Callithrix jacchus: one gene and its partners. The protein of the gene in region 4 purifies or fractionates together with the protein of the main gene of each other region. This does not show direct contact. Links are inferred from orthologs where the notes say so. Each region holds a gene or a part of one and is shown on either strand. Other genes may lie near its edges.

Region 1 (5,500 bases), on a different chromosome or scaffold from region 4:
AAATTTAAAAATACATTCTAACAGACTTAGAAAAAAATAGAGAAATAAATGCATGCACAATCCTCCCTCCCAGATGGGATAAGCACTCAAAACACCTGGGATACATATCCTTCTAATCTTGCTGTCCACATTTGCACAAAGACAGAGTTCTTCAGGCTTTGGAAGCTCAGGAAGAGCCAGAAGAGATGGCATTTGACCCAGGACTTAGAGTAAGGATGTCCAAAAAGATGACCAGTTTGGGGAGGAGAGGCACAGGAGCACACATGCAACCTCACACAGCAGAAGCAGGGTGGCAGATAGGACCCAAGGTGGGTGTGTGCAGGGCTTGGGGGCTGAACTGGGTATGAGTGGCACTGTCATCATCATCCATGCTATGCGGACCAAACCCCTCCCATGCCAGGCCCCCTGGGCTACCCAACCTCAACATGGGGAAAGGAGTCCAAGGCTCACATGCCCAATCCACAGTGAACAGCAGCAGAACCAGGACTGAACCCAGACCCCCAGACTCCAGAACTATGCCCTGATGTCCTACATGTCAGGTCCGGCATCTGCCTGACAGGCAGCTGGCAGGAAAGGGGACTGTTCCTATGTAACACACAGGGGCTGCGGCCAGCCCCAGCAGAGCCCGACTGCCTTGTACCATTCATGTTCCAGGTGAAGGCGTCTCGCAGCTTCTGCCCATCAATCTCCATATCCAGCCGGATGGGGACCAGCACCTCAGGCTGAGATGCGTTCTCATGGATCACAGCAGGGTCATGGTCATCAAAGCTGAAAGCAAAATGGCAGCAACAGTCAGTGAGGGTGTCGGGCTCCAGGGATGTGAGTTTTCAGCCTCCCTCTCTGCACAGCAGACCTCTGCAAACCCATCTGGAGAACAAGGCCACTTGTCAGCTAACAGCTGAGGTAGCAGACAAGCCCAACGGGAGTCCTGAGGCCACGGTCTAATGGGGACAGGTGGGACCATAAATGACAAGCACCAGTCTGTCTGCAATAGGATCGACTTGGGCAGTGTTGGAACAAAACCCAGACGTCCTGCGAAGGTATACTGAAGCCTGAAATTCAGTACGACTTTCATAGAAGGCTGTGGGAAAGGAGAAGAACATTTCCAGAGGAAATATTAAAGCAAGGCCAAGGCAGGTGAATGGAGGAACTGCTGAGGATGCACCAACAGACCACAGAGCGCAGATTCCCTGGGGAGCAGTGGTCGGGGATGCTGCAAAGCTAGCGGATGTTGAAGCACCCACAGTTCTCCTCTCAGGCTATGCAAACTGGTGACTGCCGTGAGGGAGTCCCAGGAGGATTCCAAGCAAGGGAGTTGGGTATTTTGGGACGATAAAGAGGGAAGAGTCCAGCAGGCAGGTTGGTAAGATGGAGCTGGAGGACAGAAGAAACCTAAGGGCGTCTGGAAGCATGGAGAAGGCCGAGAAGTGCCCCCAGGGATCTTGGGAAGCAGATGGAAGACACAGAGAGAAATGAGCTGAGGGCCAGGCATGAATGCACTGGGAAACAGACCGGGAAAGGGAGAAGGGTGCTGGAGAAAAGGGGTGGCCACTCTATTGGAGAAGGGGACAGTCAACTAGGGATGGGAAGAAGAGATGGAGGGAAGGAAGAGAGAAGGAAAAGAAGGAGAAAGGAGGATGGGAGGGGAGGAAGGAGGATGGGAGGGAAGGAAGGATGAATGATGGAAGGAAGGAAAGAGGAAAGGAAAGGGGAGGAGGGAGAACGGAGCTGAGCATCAGCAGAGGGAACTGCAGGGCAGGAGATCTAGGCGTTCTGACAGCAGTGAGGGTGTTCTAAGGTCTGAGGCAGGGTGAGAGTGGGGCAGAGTGCGGTGGTGGCAGCACCAGGCCGTGAGAAACTGAGAGCAGAGAAAGGGCCCAAGGACTGTGCCCCTAGAACTCCATTTGAGGGGCCAGGGAGGTGAGGAGGACACGGTAAGGTGACAGCAGGCAGAGCCAGGGAGACTGCAGATGGAAGTAAGGGAAACAGCAGTTCAAAGAGGAGGAGGTACTGCAGCATTATGGGGAGCACAAGGTCAAAGCACAGTGTTTTTCTGGGGAGGAGGGAACTGAAATCTGCTGGAAAACTAAGGTGGAATCAGTATGGAGAGTGAGCCAGCAACATATCCGCACCAAAGGGGGAAGGTTCTCTTCTTGTCCCGGCCCATGCGGTTCCTGTTGATGGTCGTGGAGCATGGCACGGCGTCCAGATGGTGGGAGCTATTGGGCAGGGTGGGCACCCACTGGCTGTTCCTCTTGGCCTTCTGTTCCCTGGGGAGATACAAGAAAAGTCCCCCTATCAGTCTAGGAGCCTGATCCTGCCTACAAGCATCAACTCACGCTCAGAGGATGCCCACTGTACCTCCGTCAGGCTCAAGGCTCCTGTGGGAGTTGTCTGTGCACCTGATTTTGCAGGGGCCTGCTCCCCAAGCTGTCATCAGATGATAGAGGTACATGGGCAAGGGTGAAGGTATGGAGGGGCACCAGACACAGCCCAACATGCAAGTCGGCTGCTACCCCACGACTGTGGTGTGCTGCACTATGAACCGGGCATGGCTCCATGGAAGCACTTCCTGGATGCAGGGAAGTGGCACAAGGAGGAGGCATCCCAGAGGGGTGGACAACAGAGCAGAGCCTTAGACACTGAGTCAGGGTTCCCTTGGGGGAGGGGCATGGGCAGCAGCAGGGAGAGACCGAGGGGCAGTACAGGGAGGAGGATCCCAGGGAGGGGGCCGATCACAGGTCTCACCTGCTCCATAAGATGACTTTACTCAGCAGGTGGCTGGGAATCCTCAGGGTTTTGAAGGAGGAGACGTGATCAGCCTGTGATTTTAGACATGCTGGCCAACCCAAAATACACTAGGCAAGGCCTCTGGCCTCTAAGCTTCCAGAGAAGTGAGAAGATGGGTTGATAAATACCTTCCAGAGGTGACATCCAAAGTAATTTAAATAATACATGTCCCATTAAGAGTTTGATCTTTTCTCCCAAATTCCAGGTTGCTTTTACTACTAAGTATCAAAAGCACCAGGCGCAGTGGCTCACACCAGTAACTCCAGCACTTTGGGAGGTCAAGGTGGGAGGATCACCTGAGATCAAGAGTTTAAAATGGGGCCACGCACGGTGGCTCACACTTGAAATCCCAGCTTTGGGAGCCTGAGGTCAGAAGATCAAAACCTGAGGTCAGAAGATCAAGACCAGCCTAGCCAACATGGTGAAACACCTGTCTCTACTAAAAATACAAAAATTAGCCAGGTGTGGTGGTAGGCACCTGTAATCTCAGCTACTCAGGAGGCTGAGGCAGGAGAATTGCTTGAACCAGGGAGGGGGAAGTTGCAGTGAGCCAAGATGACATCATTGCACTTCAGTGACAAGAGCTGGGTGACAAGAGCGAAACTCCATCTCAAAAAAAAACAAAACAAAACAAAAAAACACAGTTCAATAGCAGCCTGGCCAACATGGTGAAACCTCAACTCTACCAAAAATACAAAAATTAGCCAGGCATGGTGGCACATGTCTGTAATCCAGCTACTCAGGAGGCATGAGAATCACTTGAACCCAGGAGGCAGAGGGTACAGTGAGCCGAGATCATGACACTGCACTCTAACCTGGGAGAGAGAGCAACACCCTATCTTGGGGGCGGGGGGGGGGGGGGGAAGCTATTTTAAACTAAGGCTCCAGGGATGGCTGAGACAAATGAGAGCATTTGGTACCCGCTGTGCTCTGTGAGTTCCTGTTTTCCCTGGCAAGGCTGTGAGCAGGAGCAGGCAGCAACTGTGTATCACTTCCCTGTGTGGCCCCAACACCTGCGCAACCGCTTCTGCGACAACTACTCAACAGTTCAGAGCAAGCGATGACAAACGTTTGACGATGTCCTCTAAAGAGGAACCCCAGAAGACAGCATAAAGGTCCTTCCCCTTTCCAGGGGGTGGGGGAGGGCAGAAGCAATGGCCAAGACCTGCCTGGACTCTGGGCCCTCTGACTCTTTTCCCTTCTAAAGTGGGGGTCACTTACACATCTGATGCTAAGGCCGGGACTAATCATTGATTGCTGGTAGGGAGAGGGAGAGTTTTGTAGTACTCAATTTGGGGAACATGGAATCAGTTTGGGCAGGGACTAAGAGAGGGGACAGCAAGAAAAGGGTCCCCACTATAGCCTATCTGGGTCATGGTTCCTAATCCTGGCCACTCAGATTCAAAGAGCGCAATTTTTTTTTAAAGTTTAATTTTATAGAGATGGGGTCTCACTATGTTGCTCAGGCTGGTCTCAAACTCCTGGTCTCAAGCAATCCTCCCACCTTGGCCTCCCAAAGTGCTGAGAGTACAGGTGTGTGTCACCAAACCTGACCCCAGAATGCAAAAATTTAAGTAGCACATTCCTGAGCCCTACCCAGGTGGAGTGACTTCCCACCTCTGAGGAGGGGCCCAAGAAGACGGGTTCTTTGCTGTAATCCCAGCACTTTGGGAGGCCGAGCTGGGTGGATCACCTGAGGTCAGGAGTTCGAGACCAGCCTGGCCAACGTAGTAAAACCCATCTCTACTAAAACTACAAAAAATGAGCTAGCTGTGGTGGCAGGCATCTGTAATTCCAGCTACTTGGGAGGCTGATGCAGGGAAATGGCTTGAAACTGGGAGGCAGAGGTTGCAGTGAGCTGAGATCCCGCCACTGAACTCCAGCCTGGGTGACAGAGCAAAACTCCAACTAAAAAATTAAATAAATAAACTTTCCTTCCATTGCAATCCCAGGATCCCTGAGAGAGGGCGCCGAGCCTCTGCTCGAATTGCCCAGTGACAGGATGGGGAGGGTGCCAGTCCCCTTACCAGGCTGACTGAGTAGTGTGGAGCCAGCCAAAGCCACTTTCCTCAAACCTCTGCCAGGCCTCACCCGTGGAGACCTGACCTCCAGGGTAACAGGATTCCACTCCTGCAGCTGCTCCTCACATGACATGATCACCATGAAACTGTTTTATCGCCCCATAAAAGATTCCCAGCTGACGTGTGCAGAATTAAAGTGCCGTCCATATGTATACGATTTCCTTCTGCAACTTCCCTGGGAAGGTCAAGCCATTCTTATGTTCTTACCACATCCCTTGGGGGGAAAAAGAATCTGCAAAGCACACATCTATAACACTGGCAAGCCTGGAGGCATGCCACCTTTCTTTGGGGGAAATCATAAAAAAGAAATGATTTTCCATAGCCACATCACTCTGAACAATAATCCTTTTTCTCCCTTAATGCTCCTTCGGCTTTGTGCAGAGAAATGTGTACTTTCTTGAGAGCTGAATGCACAAGGTAGACGGGTACAATCTTGTTTTCTGCACGTCTCACCCACAGGAGCCCTGTCTCGGGTCACTGCAGAATCTACTTAATTACACCATGTATGGGTCACACCTTTGTCCATTGAAGTGGCTGACCATCACTTACCTAGGCTTTCCTTAAGTCTGGATACTTTAGCGACTCCATATTCTCCAGTTATTCACAATGCTACAAATAATCTCTGTATA
Region 2 (5,500 bases), on a different chromosome or scaffold from region 4:
GATAGGCACATATTGATTTTACAATAGAAAAATCAAAATTACTTTTTAAAATAAAAATATAAATCTCCCTAGGTTGAAGACAAATGCTATATAACGTGCACTGATTTAAAAAAAAATTAGACATAATTTACTTAAACATACATATACACACATAAACACACAATATACATGTGCATTTATATACACATTATCTATATATAAAATGGGGCTCTGTGTCTGTCTCCTTTTCTCCCTCTGCAACCATATATATATATATATATATATATATATATATATATGAAAAGGGATATATATAACACACACACATGAAAAGGGATATATATATATACACACACACACACACAAAGGGATAGACATATGTATATATAAAGGGATCTATATAAAGGAATATATATGTGTGTGTATGCGTGCACACACGCGCGGGCGCGCACGCGCACACACACACTTTTTTTAAATCCTTTTTTCCTCTATCTCCTTTTTTTTGAGACAGAGTCTCACTCTGTCACCCAGGCTGGAGTGCAGTGGCACAGTCACTGCTCACTGAAGCCTTAACCTCCTGGGCTCAAGCGATCCTCCTACCTCAGCCTCCTGAATAGCTGGGACTACAGAAATGGGTTCTACTTTGGCTAACGTTTTTATTTTTAGCAGAGACGAGGTTTCGCTAGGTTGACCAACAGTGGCCTCGAATTCCTGAGCTTGGGCAATCCTCCTGCGCTGGTCTCTCAATCTACATCTCCTTCATGTCCAGTGGTTGATGTCTTTCATCATTAATATATTTGATTTTGTAATCACTGCAAATGATTTGAACTCAACTTGATCTTAAGTTTTTTTGAGTAATTTTTTCTAATACAACTCACACCTATTATTTCCCTCGCTGCATTAAAAGTACTTCAGAAATCATGCAGAAACTCGATGTGTCCTCCCAGACAGTCCAGATCTCTGATTAGTATTCAGAACATCCCACAGAGGATAAACAAGCTACATCAGCATTGGAGTGACACAGTTCTTGGCCCATGTCTGCCAGTGCATTGGGGATATCAAGTCGATGTATCACAGCATAGCATATTCTGTTTGTCATACCGTCTATCAATCTACATAATACATCCACGCTTTGACTTTTTCCCATGGAAATTCACTATGCTGTCACCAAATTACAGAGTGGCTTGCCTTCAGATTTTCTCCGGTCACCTTTAGCATTTCATTAGCCTCATGTGAGGGTCTGTTAGGCACGTATTGTAGCGATTAAGTGGCTTGGTTAAGGTCAAATCTTTAAGCCCAAAATATAGTACATAATGACTGAGGATTCCCTGATTTCTTACTTGAAGCTTTGATCTTTCACACAAATAACATTCACATGTAAAACTGCCATTTTAGGAGGATGGGGAAAAAAACCTGCCATTTTATTTCAAAATCTTTTCTGGCACTATTTCTTAATTTAAATTAGCAGCCTCTAACTGTTATTCTCATATAAAAATGCGCCTTGATAATTTCTAGTCATAATTTTTTTCATCCCTTTGAGAGTAATAAGAACAATATCTACACAGAAATTAAAATTCTGCACTGCAACTGGAACTCGATTCAGAATGAAAGCTTTGGAATTCTTACCGATATCTTTGGAGGTAATCTTTCGCCTTTGTTTCAAGACCGGCTGTGATGCTTCTACTGAGCCAGGAGGAAAGGTAATCTCCCTTCTGATGGGGGGTGGCTGAGGCGGCGGCCCGGTGACCTGGGATGCGGGGACCGTGGGCATCACCTTCTGCATCTTCATGGAGGGCAGAAAGGGAGACTTGCTTGGAGACATGCGGTTCTCCAGGGAGCGCTGGAAGGACGCTGGGCTGGGTGCCCTGGAGATGTGATTTGGCAGTGATGGTGGCGTCTGGTAGGACGGCTGTGGCGGGCGCGTGATGGGCTGCATGGAGGCTGAGGACGACATATAAGGCTGACGCTGGCTGACGTGAGAAGGCCACTGGCTCTCATGGTTTATCCTCTGATCAGGTACCATCATATCGTCCGTGCGGTTCATGCCTGGGTAAGGGGGCGCCTGTGCAGGGCCGCCAGGGCCCTGCCTGTTCTGGTAGGGATAAGGCATATCATTGCGTGCTGCCCACATATTCTGCTGAGGACCCTCGCTGGAGGATGACTGCAGTGGGCCGCCCATCATCTGAGGTGGGATTCCGTGTGTCTGGAGCTGCCCTGGGCCCTGCATCCGCTCCCTGCTGTAGGGATAGGGGTATTGGCCCTGGATGGGCCTGCGGTCCGGCCCTGAGTAGGAGCCGCCGTACTGGTTGTACATGTCCTGCTGCTGGCTGCTATACTGCATGTTGTACATGTCGCCCTCGTGGCGCTTGGCTGGGGGCCCGTACATGCCGTCCATATGGCGTTTGTAATTCTGGAATTCACAGAAACATAAATCACCCTGATGTGCTCGTACAGGTATAATCACACACTGAAACGATGCAAAATAGTTACTACCTGCTAGAATGTTCATTTTGAAATGAATATGGGAAGCTCCTATAACACCTGAGAAATTTATGTTAAATATCTCAGTATCATATACACTGTGTCACACACTCAGGAGACGGCATCCAAAATTTGTTTTCACGTGTTTGAAACTTTCTGTGGGGAAAAAAAAAAAGCCTCCTCTCCTTAGGCTGGGACACCAGGACAGCCAGCGTTGGACTCACGGACAAGCAGATGCCACACATGCTGGGAGCTGTGCTAGGATCACGGCAGGAGGCAGGGGGACCCTCCCACGGGACAGCTAGGACCTAGGGCCAGTCTGAAAGAGTTTCAGGATAAATGGGTTCTTGGGCCTCATTTTATGGAAACGCCTCCAAACAGGACTCAGCTCCCCAGACTGGCCTGTGTCACCAGACATCCATCCCATGGCTCCTGCCCTGACTTCTGGCTTGGCCAGGTGGGCTCCCCCAAAGCCTCGCTGGTCCTGGCACTGAGGACAGGGCTGGCACCACACCTGCTACTAGGCTTGCTTCCCAGGACGCTCTGGGATTAGTGCTTAATCGGGGTAGGTGGGAATCTGATGGAAGGCAGTGAGGTGCTAGTGTTTTTCACTTTACTTGAAAGCTGTTTAAGATCAGTTGGTTTAATAATGCAATTCACTGGCCAGGTGCAGTGGTTCACGTCTGTAATCCCAGCACTTTGGGAGACTGAGGCGGGCGGATCACCTGAGGTCAGGAGTTCTAGACCAACCTGGCTAACACGGTGAAAACCCATCTGTACTAAAAACACAAAAGTTAGTTGGGTGTGGTGGGCGGCCCTGTAGTCCCAGTTGCTTGGGAGGCTGAGGCAGGAGAATTGCTTGAACCCAGGAGGCGGAGGTTGCAGTGAGCCAAGATCCCACCACTGTATTCCAGACAGAGTGTGACTCTGTCTCAAAAAAAACAACAATTCACTGTGCCTATCTATATGCTCCAGCAAAATTAATGAAAAAAATATAATTAATTATAATACATGTAATAATGTATATACAGTTTTCAAAATTTTTATTTTTTGCAAGAGATCTCAGATATGAAAAGCTGTTTAGAAATGGCAAAGTCCTGTACGGCTGGAGAGTCGCACCACGAAGGGACACTCTCTGCAGCAGCGCTGGGCACTGGAGGGGGAGAGCCTAGCATCTCCGAGCTGCAGCCGTCACCTGTGAACCAGCAAAAACCTGTCCTACTTATTCAAAATAAGTACCATTAGTAGCTTATCTTATTTTTTAAAAAGCCAATTCACTTTCATTATTAGTATATAATAAGCTGCTTTTCTACATATTCTCTTTAAAACATTGACAAATTTGTGTTCTAAAATGGCTTCTGATGCAATAGTATACACAACAGATACGTGTCTGAAATATACCACCTCTAGCTTGGGCTGGTTGTTATTTACAAGGATGAATGTACTCAGCTTCCTATTACAGGTTATATTTGTTTCAGGAAACCATGTATCAAGAGTGATTTTTAATTTGCTGACTTCAACAGCCCAGGAGTATTTTCTAGCGTTAACTATGTCCTGAATGCTCCATAAACACTGATCGCTTTTGTTAGACTTCTGAAAAGACAAATTTGAGTTTGAGCCTCCAGGAGAGAACCAGAAAACACAGCGCCCCACGCCCACTCGCCAACTCACCGGCTGCTGCGGGTACAGGCCGGGCTGGTGCCCTCCATACGGCGGCTGTCCCGAGGGAGGGCCTTGGCCTGGATACTGCTGCCCATAAGGTTCATGCCTGGAACGAGGCATTCAAAGAAAACTTAACTGAGAAAGAGCTTCAGGCAAACGGAGAAAGGAACAATCCATTTCCAGGAACCCCGATTCCCCCAGCAGCTCTGCTTGACCTTCACTGTGCACCCCTCCGACGAAGGCCCTCTGAGACGCAGCCGCATGCCAACTGCTAGCACCAGGGATGGGAACACCCATTTTGGGAATGGTGCCAAACTTCTGGTTCGGGCTGTTGGCTAATAGGTGTCAGAGGAATACCGGTTGAACAGGCAGGCGCCCTGTAAGCACCTGTCAGAGCCTCTGGCCTCTGCGTGGAGGCCGCAGCCCCGCCTCTCCACTGATGTGTGCCTTAGGAAGTGTCGTACAATGCTGTGATGTGAGGCATCCATGGAAGCCAGAAACGACGAGAAGAACTTAAGACTCAAAGCAATGTTCCTAGAAGTACCAGAACACCGACATGTTTGTCCTTTGCACATTCTCATTATGAATGGAAAATGTTTAATTTTTAAAAGCTACACTTCAAACTTAATTCAAATGTTAGCTAACTAATCACTGTATAAATACAAGTGCTCAGAATTTCAAAGTCCTATGTCCCAAAGGGCTAGAAAAGAATAATAGGGATGATTTAAATGTACACCTATTACATCTTAAAATGGAAATGAACTCATACTTTTATCTTTCAACTACTAGCATATTAAGAAATTACAAATACCATCAAAAATAGCAAGTTTTAAAAGGCAATAGATTTGGAACTTTGAAAGATACACTGGTTTAGGTTAATATACTAAGTCTTGTAGGAAACAGAACAATGGACTGAATATATTCCCAACGTGATTGAAGAATGAGAATAATAAAAATAAATAAATTTTTAGACTATCACATGTGAAACAGACATGGGCACTTTCGATAAGTAACTTTTAACCTTGAGATCTAAGAAGGAAGCTTAGAGATAAGAGGAAAGAAATGTAATTGACATGGTAAAATTTAAGTTGCCTAACAAGCAACGTTTTTTCAGAAGAGAAAACTTAACAATGAAGTAGACCTATCTTTAATATGATAGCGCCAAGATAATTCTTCTTCTAATCTTGCCAGCTATCCACCAAAAAAACATCTGTAGCTTTTCCTGGACCCTCAAAAATGAAACAAACCTAACTGAAATCCTTGATCCAGCACACTAAACAATACCTTATGGTTAACTGATGAATGAATATATCACAAGTAAATACTGACCACATCATGGCCAGGTTAAGAATTAGAAGAGTAAATTCCTAGGTGCCTA
Region 3 (5,500 bases), on a different chromosome or scaffold from region 4:
GGGGTGTGACCCTGAAGTAAGCTTCAGGTGGAGAAGTCCCTGAGGGTGGGGAACTGAAATGTTGGGACATCTCAGGTCCTCTGGGCTGTGGGGTGGGCTCTGAAAGGCAAGTGTCTGGGTGGCAGGTCCTGAATAAGACATGCCAGGCAGGGTTCCTGGGTCCTTGAGGGTGGTGTACCCCTGGGGATGGGCCAGGGCTCAGGGCTTCAGTCTCAGGCCCGGCTGAAGCACCTGTCTTGTCCCAGGGGCTGCTGCTGTGTCTGCTGCTGAGCACGGGTGGGGCATGGGCATCCAAGGAGCCACTTCGGCCACTGTGTCGCCCCGTCAATGCCATCCTGGCTGCTGAGAAGGAGGGCTGCCCTGTGTGTGTCGCCTTTAACACCACCATCTGTGCCGGCTACTGCTCCAGCATGGTGAGCTGCCCAGGACCAGGGGCAGGTGCTGCCACCACAGGGCGGGGCCCACAGAGGCATGGGGAAGGGTGGTCTGGCTCTCTGGGCAGGGGTTGGGAAATGGGGCTGGAGGGCATGAACAGAGGGCTTCCTGGACATCTGAGTCTGGGACCTGTGGAGGGAGCTGGGGTGCTCAGCTGAGGTGCTGGCCCCTAGACACATGCCCACTCGCCCACCCACATGGCCTTAGGTACGGGTGCTGCAGACCATCTTACCGCCCTTACCCCAGTCGGTGTGCAACTACCACGAGCTGCGCTTCACCTCTGTCCGGCTCCCTGGCTGTCGGCCCGGCGTGGATCCCGTAGTTTCCATGCCCGTGGCTCTCAGCTGTCGCTGTGGACTCTGCCGCCGAAGCTATTCTGACTGCGGGAGTCTCAGGAACGAGCCCTTGGGCTGTGACTACTCCACCTTCCAGGACTCTTCCTCTAAGGACCCTCCCCGCAACCTTACAAGTCCATCCCAACTCCTGGAGCCAGCAGACCCTCCACTAGTCCCACAATAAAGGCTTCTCAATCCGCACTCTGGGGGTGTCTTTCTCTGGAATCAGGGCAACCACACACACACAGGGTGGGACCAGCTTCAAAACAACTTTATATAAAGTCACAGTGTCAGAACTCTGGTAGAAAACAGGGTGGGGACGGGGGTGACATCCAGTTCAGGAGGTATCCATGGTCTCGCCTTCTATGGGGAGAAGGAAGGCCAGATGGTCAGTGTGGCCCAGAGGGCAGGGCCTGAGCCTTTTAGGCCGAGCTCCCTCTTCCTCCCTCTGGGGGTGGCACTGGCAGTGCAGGTACGGGGTGGGGACGCTTACTGAGCTCATTGAAGAGGAAGGCGTCCTGGTACTCCTTCATGTACTGCGTGGAGCGGGACTCGTCCAGGAAGAGTGAGTAGACCCGCTTGATGTCATCCACCTGTACCTCTGTGCCCTGGAGGGGGAGGGCAAGTCCTCAGTGGGGACCCTCCTCGTAAGGCCCACAGCACAGACCCCAGCCTATGCCACCTCCAGCTCCAGGCAGCAGCGGGTAGCAGGTGAGGGGAAGGCATTCTGGGCCAGATTGCCTGTGTTCAAATCCTGCCTGGCTATCCACTGGGTGTGGGCCCAGCCTCTTCATTCCTCAGCTTTTTTCTTTTTTGGGACAGAGTCTCCAATCATGCCCAGGCTGGAGTGCAGTAGCACCATCTTGGCTCACTGCAACCTCCGCCTCCCAGATTTAAGCAATTCTCCTGCCTCAGCCTCCTGAGTAGCTGGGTCTACGGGTGCATGCCACCAGACCTGGCTAATTTTTTGCATTTTTAGTAGAGACAGGGTATCATCGCATTAGCCAGGCTGGTCTGGAACTCTACACCTTAAGATTTGCCCGCCTTGGCCTCCCCAAGTGCTGGGATTATAGGCATGAGCCACCACGCCCGGCCTCCTCTGTTTCTTTATTTGTAAGATGGACCTAACAGCATCTACTTACAGTCAACAGAGATATAGTGAGCACCTACTTTTTTTTTTGACATGAAGTTTTGCTCTTGTTGCCCAGGCTGGAGTGCAGTGGCACGATCTCACCGCACCCTCCACCTCCTGGGTTCAAGTGATTCTCCTGCCTCAGCCTCCCGAGTAGCTGGCATCACAGGCATGCGCCACCATCTACACGGCCTCCAGGCTAATGTTTTGTATTCTCAGTAGAGATGGGGTTTCTCCATGTTGGCCAGGCTAGTCTCGAATTTCTGACCTCAGGTGATGCGTCCGCCTCGGTCTCCCAAAGTGCTGGGATTACAGGCGTGAGCCACCGCGCCCGGCCTTCCCGAGTACCTACTATAGGCTAGGCCAGGCGACACAGAAATCAACCTGAGGAATGAAAATTCCCTGCCCCTGAAAATGTACATTCTAGGATGAAACACGGAACCCCCGGAAGCCCTTGAAATAGCGCATCCTTGCTCCTGCCGGCCATCTGGCCCTGCTGGCGAATTTGGCTGACCTTGCGTTTCCGGCACACCAGGCTGGCAGCCGTGATGAGCTGGATGGCATAGCGCAGTGACGTCTCCAGCCCGATGCGGGTCAGCACCGTGTAGGCGTCCTCACTCATCTCCACATCTTCCTCCTCACACCTGCAGGCAGTAGGGGCGGGATGGCTTAGCCAGGGCCTGGCCTCTGACCAGCAGGAGTGGCCGCAGCCACCCCTGGGATGTGTGGTGCCTGCATCTTAGAATCACAGAATGCTAAGGCTGGAAGAACTATGGAGACAGGGGCTGGGCTGGAACTAAAACCTAGGGCTCCTGACCCCACCCAGGGCACTGACCCCCACACCAGTCACAGCGTCTCACCTCCCTTCCCCACAGTGGCACCTGCCCCCCAGACTGGATGTCACTGTTTGGGTGCCCATTCGGCCCTCTCTCTTGCAGGCCCAGCAACCATGCCACCCCCCAGACCTCAGTGTCAGCATTTGTCCCACAGGGTGGCCCCCAGCCCTGTCTCTCAGGCACACGGCCTGGTCCTGCCCGCACCGGATGCGGAGGATCTGCTTTGTGTCTTTCTCGCTGTAGGGGGTGGTGGAGACGATGAGCAGCCGGTCCAGCAGATCGATGGGGATGCCATGGGGGCTCTGGTAGCTGGTGCCCCGGATCCTGCGGAAGAGGTAGAGAGGGACTGTCAGGGTGATGTTCCCTCTTCATTCCCTCTGCTGGCAACACTCCCACCTCACACCACCACTCACTCGCTGGGCCAAACACCACTTAACCTTTAGCTCGTGCCTCATGTCACCTGATGACGTCACCCTCTGATGGTGAAGCCTTCCACAATGGTGTCACCCCCCCCCACCCCCAACAGCACTCTTCTGCAGAGCCAGGCTGCTTTAAGCTAGATCTCTGCCTCCAGGATTACTGGATCAAGCCCCCAACTCCCGTGCTGGACATAAAGTTCCACAAAGGAGGGGACCTCACGTGTCTTGTTCCCTGCTGCAGTGAGGCCAGCCCAGGGCTGGTGCCAGGGGATACAGCTAAGTCTCCTTATTCATAGTAGTGAAGTTCCAGGAAGTCACCGTAAACACACCGACTGGCCAATCCTGAGCCATTGCTCCCAGTGGAATATACAGGGTTAAGTTCTCAAGCCCCTAGTCACAATATTTTCATCAACCAATATACATGTAATCTTAGTCGATGTGTGTTTTCATTTATGTGTGTTTCCACACAGTTTTTTCATTTGTTTGTTTTTTGAGACAGAGTCTCGCTCTATCGCCAGGCAGGAGTGCAATGGGGCAATCTTGGCTCACTGCAACCTCCGCCTCCCGGGTTCAACCAATCCTCCTGCCTCAGCCTCCTGAGTAGCTGTGTGCCACCACGCCCAGCTAATTTTTTGTATTTTTAGTAAAGACAGTGTTTCACCATGTTGGCCAGGATGGTCTCGATCTCTTGACCTCGTGATCCAACAGCCTCAGCCTCCCAAAGTGCTGGGATTACAGGCGTGAGCCACCGTGCCCGGCCTCATTTCTGTGTGTCTATTATGTAATATCACTGTTAATTCTCTAACATGGAGCTCACGCCAACAGCATTCTAACATGGGCTCAGCAAAGTGCCCGCTATTGCCTCTGTCAGGCTACACAGCAGTTCCGCGCGGTGTTCAGGGAACATTTCACAGCAAAATCACCAACAAATGGCCCTAAAAAAGTTAAAAAAAAAAAAAAAAAGGCACAAAAAACTGACGGCACTTTGGGAGGCTGAGGCAAGCGGATCACTTGAGCCCAGGAGTCTGAGACTAGCCTGGGCAACATGGCGAAACCCCACCTCTACAAAACATACAAAAACAACAACCAAATAATAGGCCAGGCGCAGTGACTCACGCCTGTAATCCCAGTACTTTGGGAGACTGAGGTGGGTGGATCACATGAGGTCAGGAGTACAACACCAGCTTGGACAATATGGTGAGACCCCATCTCTACTAAAAACAGAAAAATTAGCCAGGCATGGTGGTGGGTGCCTGTAATCCCAGCTACTCAGCAGGCTGAGGCAGGGGAATTGCTTGAACCCAAAAGGCAGAGGTTGCAGTGAGCCGAGATAGCGCCATTGCACTCCAGCCTGGGCAACAGAGCGAGACTCTAACTCAAAACAAAAACAAAAACAAAGATTAGCCAGGCGGAGTGGTGCACACCCATGGTCCCGGCTACTGAGGAGGCTGAGGACAGAGGGCTGAGGCTGGGGGCAGGGGGCTGATGTGTGTGTGTGTGTTTCTGGGTGTGGTGGGCATTGAGGCTGCAATAAGCCATGATCGTGCCACTGCCCTCCAGCCTGGGTGACAGAGCACGACCCTGTCTCAAAAAACAAAAGCGACAAACGTAGCACTCAACAGAATACAACAAGGACACTTATGACATGAGAGCTAAAGGGAGCAGACAGCCTGGTCTCATTCACACTTAGCTGGGAAAGTTGGTGTCAGGTGACTTGAATTTGTTGCCCAAAAGCAGGGCAGATATTTATTTGGGGATTAGAAATAAATCTTAGCAAGTGAACAGATTCTCAAATGCGGAGTCTATTAACAGTCAGGGCCGCCCGTCACTGCCATCTCTGCATAGGAGGTGCCCTGGGCAGTCCCCAGGCCTGACCTGCAGCTGCTTCGGGCACACCGTCCGCCCTAGGGGTCTCTTCCAGTGCCCTGCCACCCAGAAACCGAGTTTGGACCTTGCCACCTTCTAGACGACCTGTGACCTGGGCAAGTCACTGGGCCTCACTGTCCTGCCCTGTAAAATGGGGCTGAGGTGTTATCTATTTTCTGAGTTTCTGAGGATCCAAGGAGTTAAAAGAGCCAAACCCAGAGCCAGGTACAGCAGCCCGCCATCCTCTGTAGGATGCCCACTTCTTCCCATTTTTTTTTTTGAGACAGAACCTTGCCCTGTCGCCCAGGCTACAGTGCAATGGTGTAATCTTGGCTCAATACAACCTCCATCTCCCGGGTTCAGATGATTATCCTGCCTCAGCCTCCTGAGTAGCTGGGATTACAGGTACATGCCACCACGCCTGGCTAATGTTTTGTATCTTTAGTAGAGATGGAGTTTCACTATGTTGGACAGGCT
Region 4 (5,500 bases):
ATAATCTTTCATAATATCTGACAAAAATGAAAAACGAAACCTCTATAATATTTCTTTAGATATAGATTAAATTTACTAATCAATCAGATAAGAATTAAAATTATTTAGTAATAAAATTGCTTCTATAAATTCTAGAAATTAGACTTTTCCACATGAGGAAATCAGAATTCTTATAAACATAATATTAAATCTAAAGAGTAAATACGGCAATCCAAATCCTAAGTATGAATTTTAGACCACCAAATTCTCCCATTTATAATTGGTATTCATAAAAGAAACCCTAAGTTCGTAACAATACAACACTGATCATTTATGACCATTAGGCTTGCTTTCTGGGACCTTTTTGTCTCTGTACCAAATGTGTTTCACAAAAGACTTTGGTCCAAAAATTTCCAGCCGTCATTCAACATCTCAGTTCTCTCTTGGAGACTTGACTAATACTAGATATACACTGCCCTTGGGGCACAAGAAATGATTCATAAATCAAAATGAGATGCAGTCCAAGGAAATAAAATGTTAAGGCCGGGTGTGGTGGCTCATGCCTGTAATCCAAGCACTTTGGAGGCCAAGGCAGGCGGATCACCTGAGGTCAGGATTTCAAGATCAGCCTGACCAACACGGTGAAACCCCGTCTTTAAAAATATAAAAATTTAAAAATAAATAAAAAATAAAAAAGTAAATAAAATGTTAAACAAGTACCTGGAAATATAGAAATAACCACAAAATCCATTAGGGTGTTTTGTTGTTCTCTGGATGTTTTATTTATTGGAACAGTAAAAGTTATACGATAGTATTAAAAATGAATCCCTTTTTCCTAATTTTCAAATTCAAAATATGAATTTCTATGCCTCTTTAAAAAAAAAGAAATAGTCATCAATTGAGTTGAAAATGAAAAAAGAAAAAAAAAAACAACTAGAGAAATGTGAAAAAGAAAGTCTTTATCTCACCGGTGCCTCTGACATGAGAACAGGATGGAGGCTGGCTTCTGATTTGACATGCATTTTGTAGGTATGGTCCAAAATGGCCTGGAAACTATCCCAGTCTTCGACTAGAAGATAAGATTAGTAACTCAGAAACAATGCATAGTTGAAGATGAATACAGCATCTTTTGAGATACTGTTTCTATGACTTGACAATTAATACTTTAGTATACAGAACCTACTGATTTTACAGATCAACTTCCTAACACAGTACTTTATACAGAGAGTACCTTTGTCTTCTTTTTGGTCCTCCAGACCCCAGACCTGTCCCAAATGTAATTAATCTAACAGACCTAAAATGCCCAATAAATGTTATTCAATTCAGTAAGTACTTCTCAGAGGCCCAGAATGTGATCAGAATGATCACAGGAAGTACAGAAGAACTGTATGGCCTTCTGAATGAGACTACTGCTGGGGTAAAAAAAGAATTGTATGGTCTAGACCCGACACTCAAAAACTTACAATCTATTTGGAAAAAACTAAAAGACATGCTAAAAATTAGAGAAGAGCATATGTCTTCAATTTGGCTTCCTAAACATTCCACTAGAACTGACACTCACGACTTCTAATAGGCAAATTCATGGATACTCCACATTTTTAATCATCTGACTTCTCTAAATTACGACAGCATTGCCTACACAAGAGTTTACAAACTTTTCTGTCATGGCCCAAAGAAAAAATGTCACTAATTATATAATATACTTCCACAGGCCCACCTGGATTTTTTTTTTAACTTCTCTTTCTCAGTGTAAAGCTGTCAATGTCACAGCAGAAAACACTGAGAATCACTGAAACTTTTTCTTTCCTTGTTCTTCTCCTGATTTTTTTCCTACATCCCTAATTGTTTCCTTTCCTTCTCCTTCAAGGGTACCTTTTATTCTCTATTAGTCAAAATATACAAGTTTTCCCCAGGAACTCCATCTTCAATCCTCTTCTCATATTCCAATTTTTTTTCAGAGTAATAAAACGCAACTCCGTATCTTCAGATCTTTCTTATGACCTTTTATTCACCTGCTTACTGAATTAGCACCTGGATGTTCTGAGCACTTTGAACTCAGTGAACCCACTTACTTATTATACATGAAAGAGTTAACACTGCAAGCCTGAGAAAGGCCTGCTTGTAAGGCTGTCTCTTAGCTGGTGTCTGGAAACATGACTGGCATACAGTTCCCCATGTTGATATAAAACTTGTCCCTAAATGGTAAGAGTAGCTTGCTATACCAACACTGTTTGTACAAACAATGTTAGTTCTGAAGACTTGCTTTCCTTCTGAGAATCTAAAATTGTGTTACAGGCCAGGTAGATGGTACCTACATAACCAGCCCACTGTAAAATCCTTGCGTACTGAGTCTCAGAGTTCTCATGGAAGATAACACGTGTGTTGTGATTTATTGCTGGAGGGATTAAGCACATCCTGTATGACTCCTCTGTGAGGAGACTCTAAGAAGTTTGCATCTGGACTTCATCATCCCATCCCTTTTCCCTTTGTTGATGTTGTTTTGTATCTGAATCTTCGGTACAATAAATCTTAGCTGTGAGTACAACCACATGCTAAGTCCTGTGAGTGAGTCTTGCTTGTGAGTAACTGACCTGAGAGTGATTCTGGGTATGCCTAATAACCTTGCCTTTTTTTTTTTTTTTGAGACAGAGTCTCGCTCTGTCACAGGCTGGAATGCAGTCATGGGATCTTAGTTCACTGCAACCTCTGCATCCTGGGTTCAAATGATTCTTGGGTTCAAATGATTCTTGTGCTGCAGACTCTCGAGTAGCTGAGATTACAGGTATGCACCACCACACCGGGCAAATGTTTATATTTTTAGTAGAGATGGGGTTTTGCCATGTTGCCCAGGCTGGTCTTGAACTCCTAGACTCAAGCAATTCACCTGCTGTCTTGGCCTCCCAAAGTGCTGGGATTATACAAGTATAAGCTACCATGCCCAGCCAACCATGCCTTTTAAAACCATAACACTTCCTCCTTCCTTTTCTATTCCTATCTCAATGCATGGTGCTCTCTGCATAGAGTTGCCCCAACCAAAAATCTAGGAAACTTTGAGTCCTCTCTTGCTTTTACTCCATCGATCACTTTGTAACACTGTCTCCTGGTTACCCTGAAAGTCCCTTCAAAATCTCTACCAGTATGATCTAACAGTTTAAACCCTCTTGATTTCTGATCTGGACTCTTATCTTCCTATTGAACTTGCTGTCTCTACTGTCTCCCTTCACTAGAGCCTACATATTACCATTAATCTTTCCTGCTGGCAAATATGAGCATATCACATCTGTTTAAATTCCTTTGGGGTTATCCTTCAGCAACTAGCTTAATACAACTCTGGGATGGTTTACAAGCCCTTTTATGATGGCTCTCCACCTACCTCACCTGCTACTGACCCTAATGAGCCCAATGCTGCAGCCACACGCAATTGTATTACATCTCTAAGCACATAAGCTTCTTTCACAACTCCATCCCTTCACACATGCTGGGCCCTCTGCTTTACCCAGCTTTGTCAGCTAGGCTAATTCTTATTCATTGATCAAGATTCATCATGAGTTACCACCTTTGTGAAAACCATCAGTGACTCCCAACACTAATCAAATACTCTCCTCTCTAGTCCCATTGCTTATGCACATATCTATATTGTAGCATTTGTTCCACAGGGCACTATTATTTGTACGTAAACATCTATTTCCACTAACTATAAGCTTTTGAGGAAAAAGAACATTTCTTATTCATCTTTGTATTCTCACTGTCTGGAAATCAGTTTGTGGAATAAAAAACAAAACAAAAAACATGGCTGATGTTCAACTTATAAAACGCCACTGCTTTATATATATATCTAAAATATACCATGTACCCTCTATAATCAATTCCACTGGGAAAACATCATACCCATCCCATTTTTTAGAGGTGAAATGGCCTCCATATTCTCCCTCGGAACCCGCAGAGCATTGGTGTCTATGTAGTAGGTGGGACCTCCTTGTTTGCCTTTATCGCCATCTATTTCCATCAGTGTGCTTCCGTCGTCTCTTTCCACCACCATACCAATAGCTGTAGGAAAATCCACCTGTAAGAGTCAGAAACATGATATATGAGTTTCACCTTTTACCAAGAAGGCATTTTTTTCCCGCGACTAACGTCTTTATTGTATTTGTCTTGAATCAGAATTTCTGCATGAATTTAATTTACATGAATGGCTCTACATATCAAATTAATTCCAACATTACACTTACCTTGGGACAGTCCTCACCGGCATAACCAGCTCTCACAGTATAGGATCCGATGTCAAAAACAAGGGCTCCAACTTCATCTAAAAAGATTAGAAGTTAATTAGCATTAACAGCTTGCAAAGTATCACATGAAAATTAAAGTATTTAATGTACTTAAAATAAGAATGTATGTAAAAGCTCTGTAAAATTAATTACATTCTTTTTTTTTCTTTTGAGACAAGGTCTTGCTCTGTTACCCAGTCTGGAGTGCAGTGGCACAATCATAGCTCACTACAGCCTCAACCTCCCAGGCTCAAGCAATCCTCCTGCCTCAGCCTTCCAAATACTTGGGACTACAGTGCATGCCATCACGCCCAGCTAATACTTTAAATCTTTTTTTTTTGTAGAGACAAGGTCTCACTATGTTGCCCAGGACAGACTCAAACTTTGGGGCTCAAGCAGTCCCCTGCCTCAGCATCCCAAAGTGCTGCAGGCATGACCCACTGCACTCAGCCCAATTATATTCATATTATTACTCACTTGAACCTAGTTTCAAATAAATCTTAAAGAATCATTTAATTAAAATATAAAAATTGATACACCGTATTTCAGCAGCGGTTCAATCAGTTAAGAAATGGTACACTAAGGCCGGGCGCGGTGGCTCAAGCCTGTAATCCCAGCACTTTGGGAGGCCGAGGCGGGTGGATCACGAGATCAAGAGATCGAGACCATCCTGGTCAACATGGTGAAACCCCGTCTCTACTAAAAATACAAAAAATTAGCTGGAGATGGTGGCGCGTGCCTGTAATCCCAGCTACTCAGAAGGCTGAGGCAGGAGAATTGCCTGAACCCAGGAGGCGGAGGTTGCGGTGAGCCGAGATCGCGCCATTGCACTCCAGCCTGGGTAACAAGAGCGAAACTCCATCTCAAAAAAAAAAAAAAGAAAGAAATGGTACACTAAAACTGGGAAATCTGAGTTTACTTATTAAAAGGAGTATTTACAAAGATAGAGGTAAAATATAGGACAACCAGAAGGGACAGTACAGTACCCTAGTACTGTAGTGATAACTGATAATAATGAACCCACTGCCATTCTTCAAACTGAAGAAACAAGAAGAAATAATTGTTACCAGAATCTGGAGAGAAAGTTTTATAGGGAAGACTACTGACAGTAGCTTTGAATTTTAGTAGAAGGATGCAGTTAGCCATGAATTACCCTGAGGTGAATGAACAACCAGGCTAATATGCCAGCAACCTCCCTCCACCATCAACTAGGGTGATTCTATAATTTATTATTCTAAGTGGGACAACCACTA

Evidence for each region.
Region 1: the proteins of ACTL6A (region 4) and SMARCB1 purify together in Homo sapiens (affinity purification with mass spectrometry; 11 studies listed by BioGRID and IntAct, with this or other methods). This does not show direct contact. The link is inferred for Callithrix jacchus from reciprocal best matches to the Homo sapiens genes ACTL6A and SMARCB1.
Region 2: the proteins of ACTL6A (region 4) and ARID1B purify together in Homo sapiens (affinity purification with mass spectrometry; 5 studies listed by BioGRID and IntAct, with this or other methods). This does not show direct contact. The link is inferred for Callithrix jacchus from reciprocal best matches to the Homo sapiens genes ACTL6A and ARID1B.
Region 3: the proteins of ACTL6A (region 4) and RUVBL2 purify together in Homo sapiens (affinity purification with mass spectrometry; 11 studies listed by BioGRID and IntAct, with this or other methods). This does not show direct contact. The link is inferred for Callithrix jacchus from reciprocal best matches to the Homo sapiens genes ACTL6A and RUVBL2.

What each region holds. Positions count from the first base shown.
Region 1 is NC_133502.1:192,687,274-192,692,773, forward strand, and holds part of SMARCB1 (SWI/SNF-related matrix-associated actin-dependent regulator of chromatin subfamily B member 1), read right to left. Parts: intron 2,271-5,500; coding exon 2,133-2,270; intron 769-2,132; coding exon 641-768; intron 1-640.
Region 2 is NC_133505.1:164,031,496-164,036,995, reverse strand, and holds part of ARID1B (AT-rich interactive domain-containing protein 1B), read right to left. Parts: intron 4,229-5,500; coding exon 4,132-4,228; intron 2,390-4,131; coding exon 1,606-2,389; intron 1-1,605. UniProt on the Homo sapiens protein: Involved in transcriptional activation and repression of select genes by chromatin remodeling (alteration of DNA-nucleosome topology).
Region 3 is NC_133523.1:42,867,692-42,873,191, reverse strand, and holds the end of RUVBL2 (ruvB-like 2), read right to left. Parts: intron 3,063-5,500; coding exon 2,943-3,062; intron 2,547-2,942; coding exon 2,417-2,546; intron 1,379-2,416; coding exon 1,264-1,378; intron 1,134-1,263; coding exon 1,108-1,133; 3' UTR 1,026-1,107; downstream 1-1,025. Other genes in the region: choriogonadotropin subunit beta precursor, read left to right, coding at 246-413, 643-954. UniProt on the Homo sapiens protein: Possesses single-stranded DNA-stimulated ATPase and ATP-dependent DNA helicase (5' to 3') activity; hexamerization is thought to be critical for ATP hydrolysis and adjacent subunits in the ring-like structure contribute to the ATPase activity.
Region 4 is NC_133516.1:7,798,556-7,804,055, reverse strand, and holds part of ACTL6A (actin-like protein 6A), read right to left. Parts: intron 4,286-5,500; coding exon 4,209-4,285; intron 4,043-4,208; coding exon 3,868-4,042; intron 1,049-3,867; coding exon 948-1,048; intron 1-947.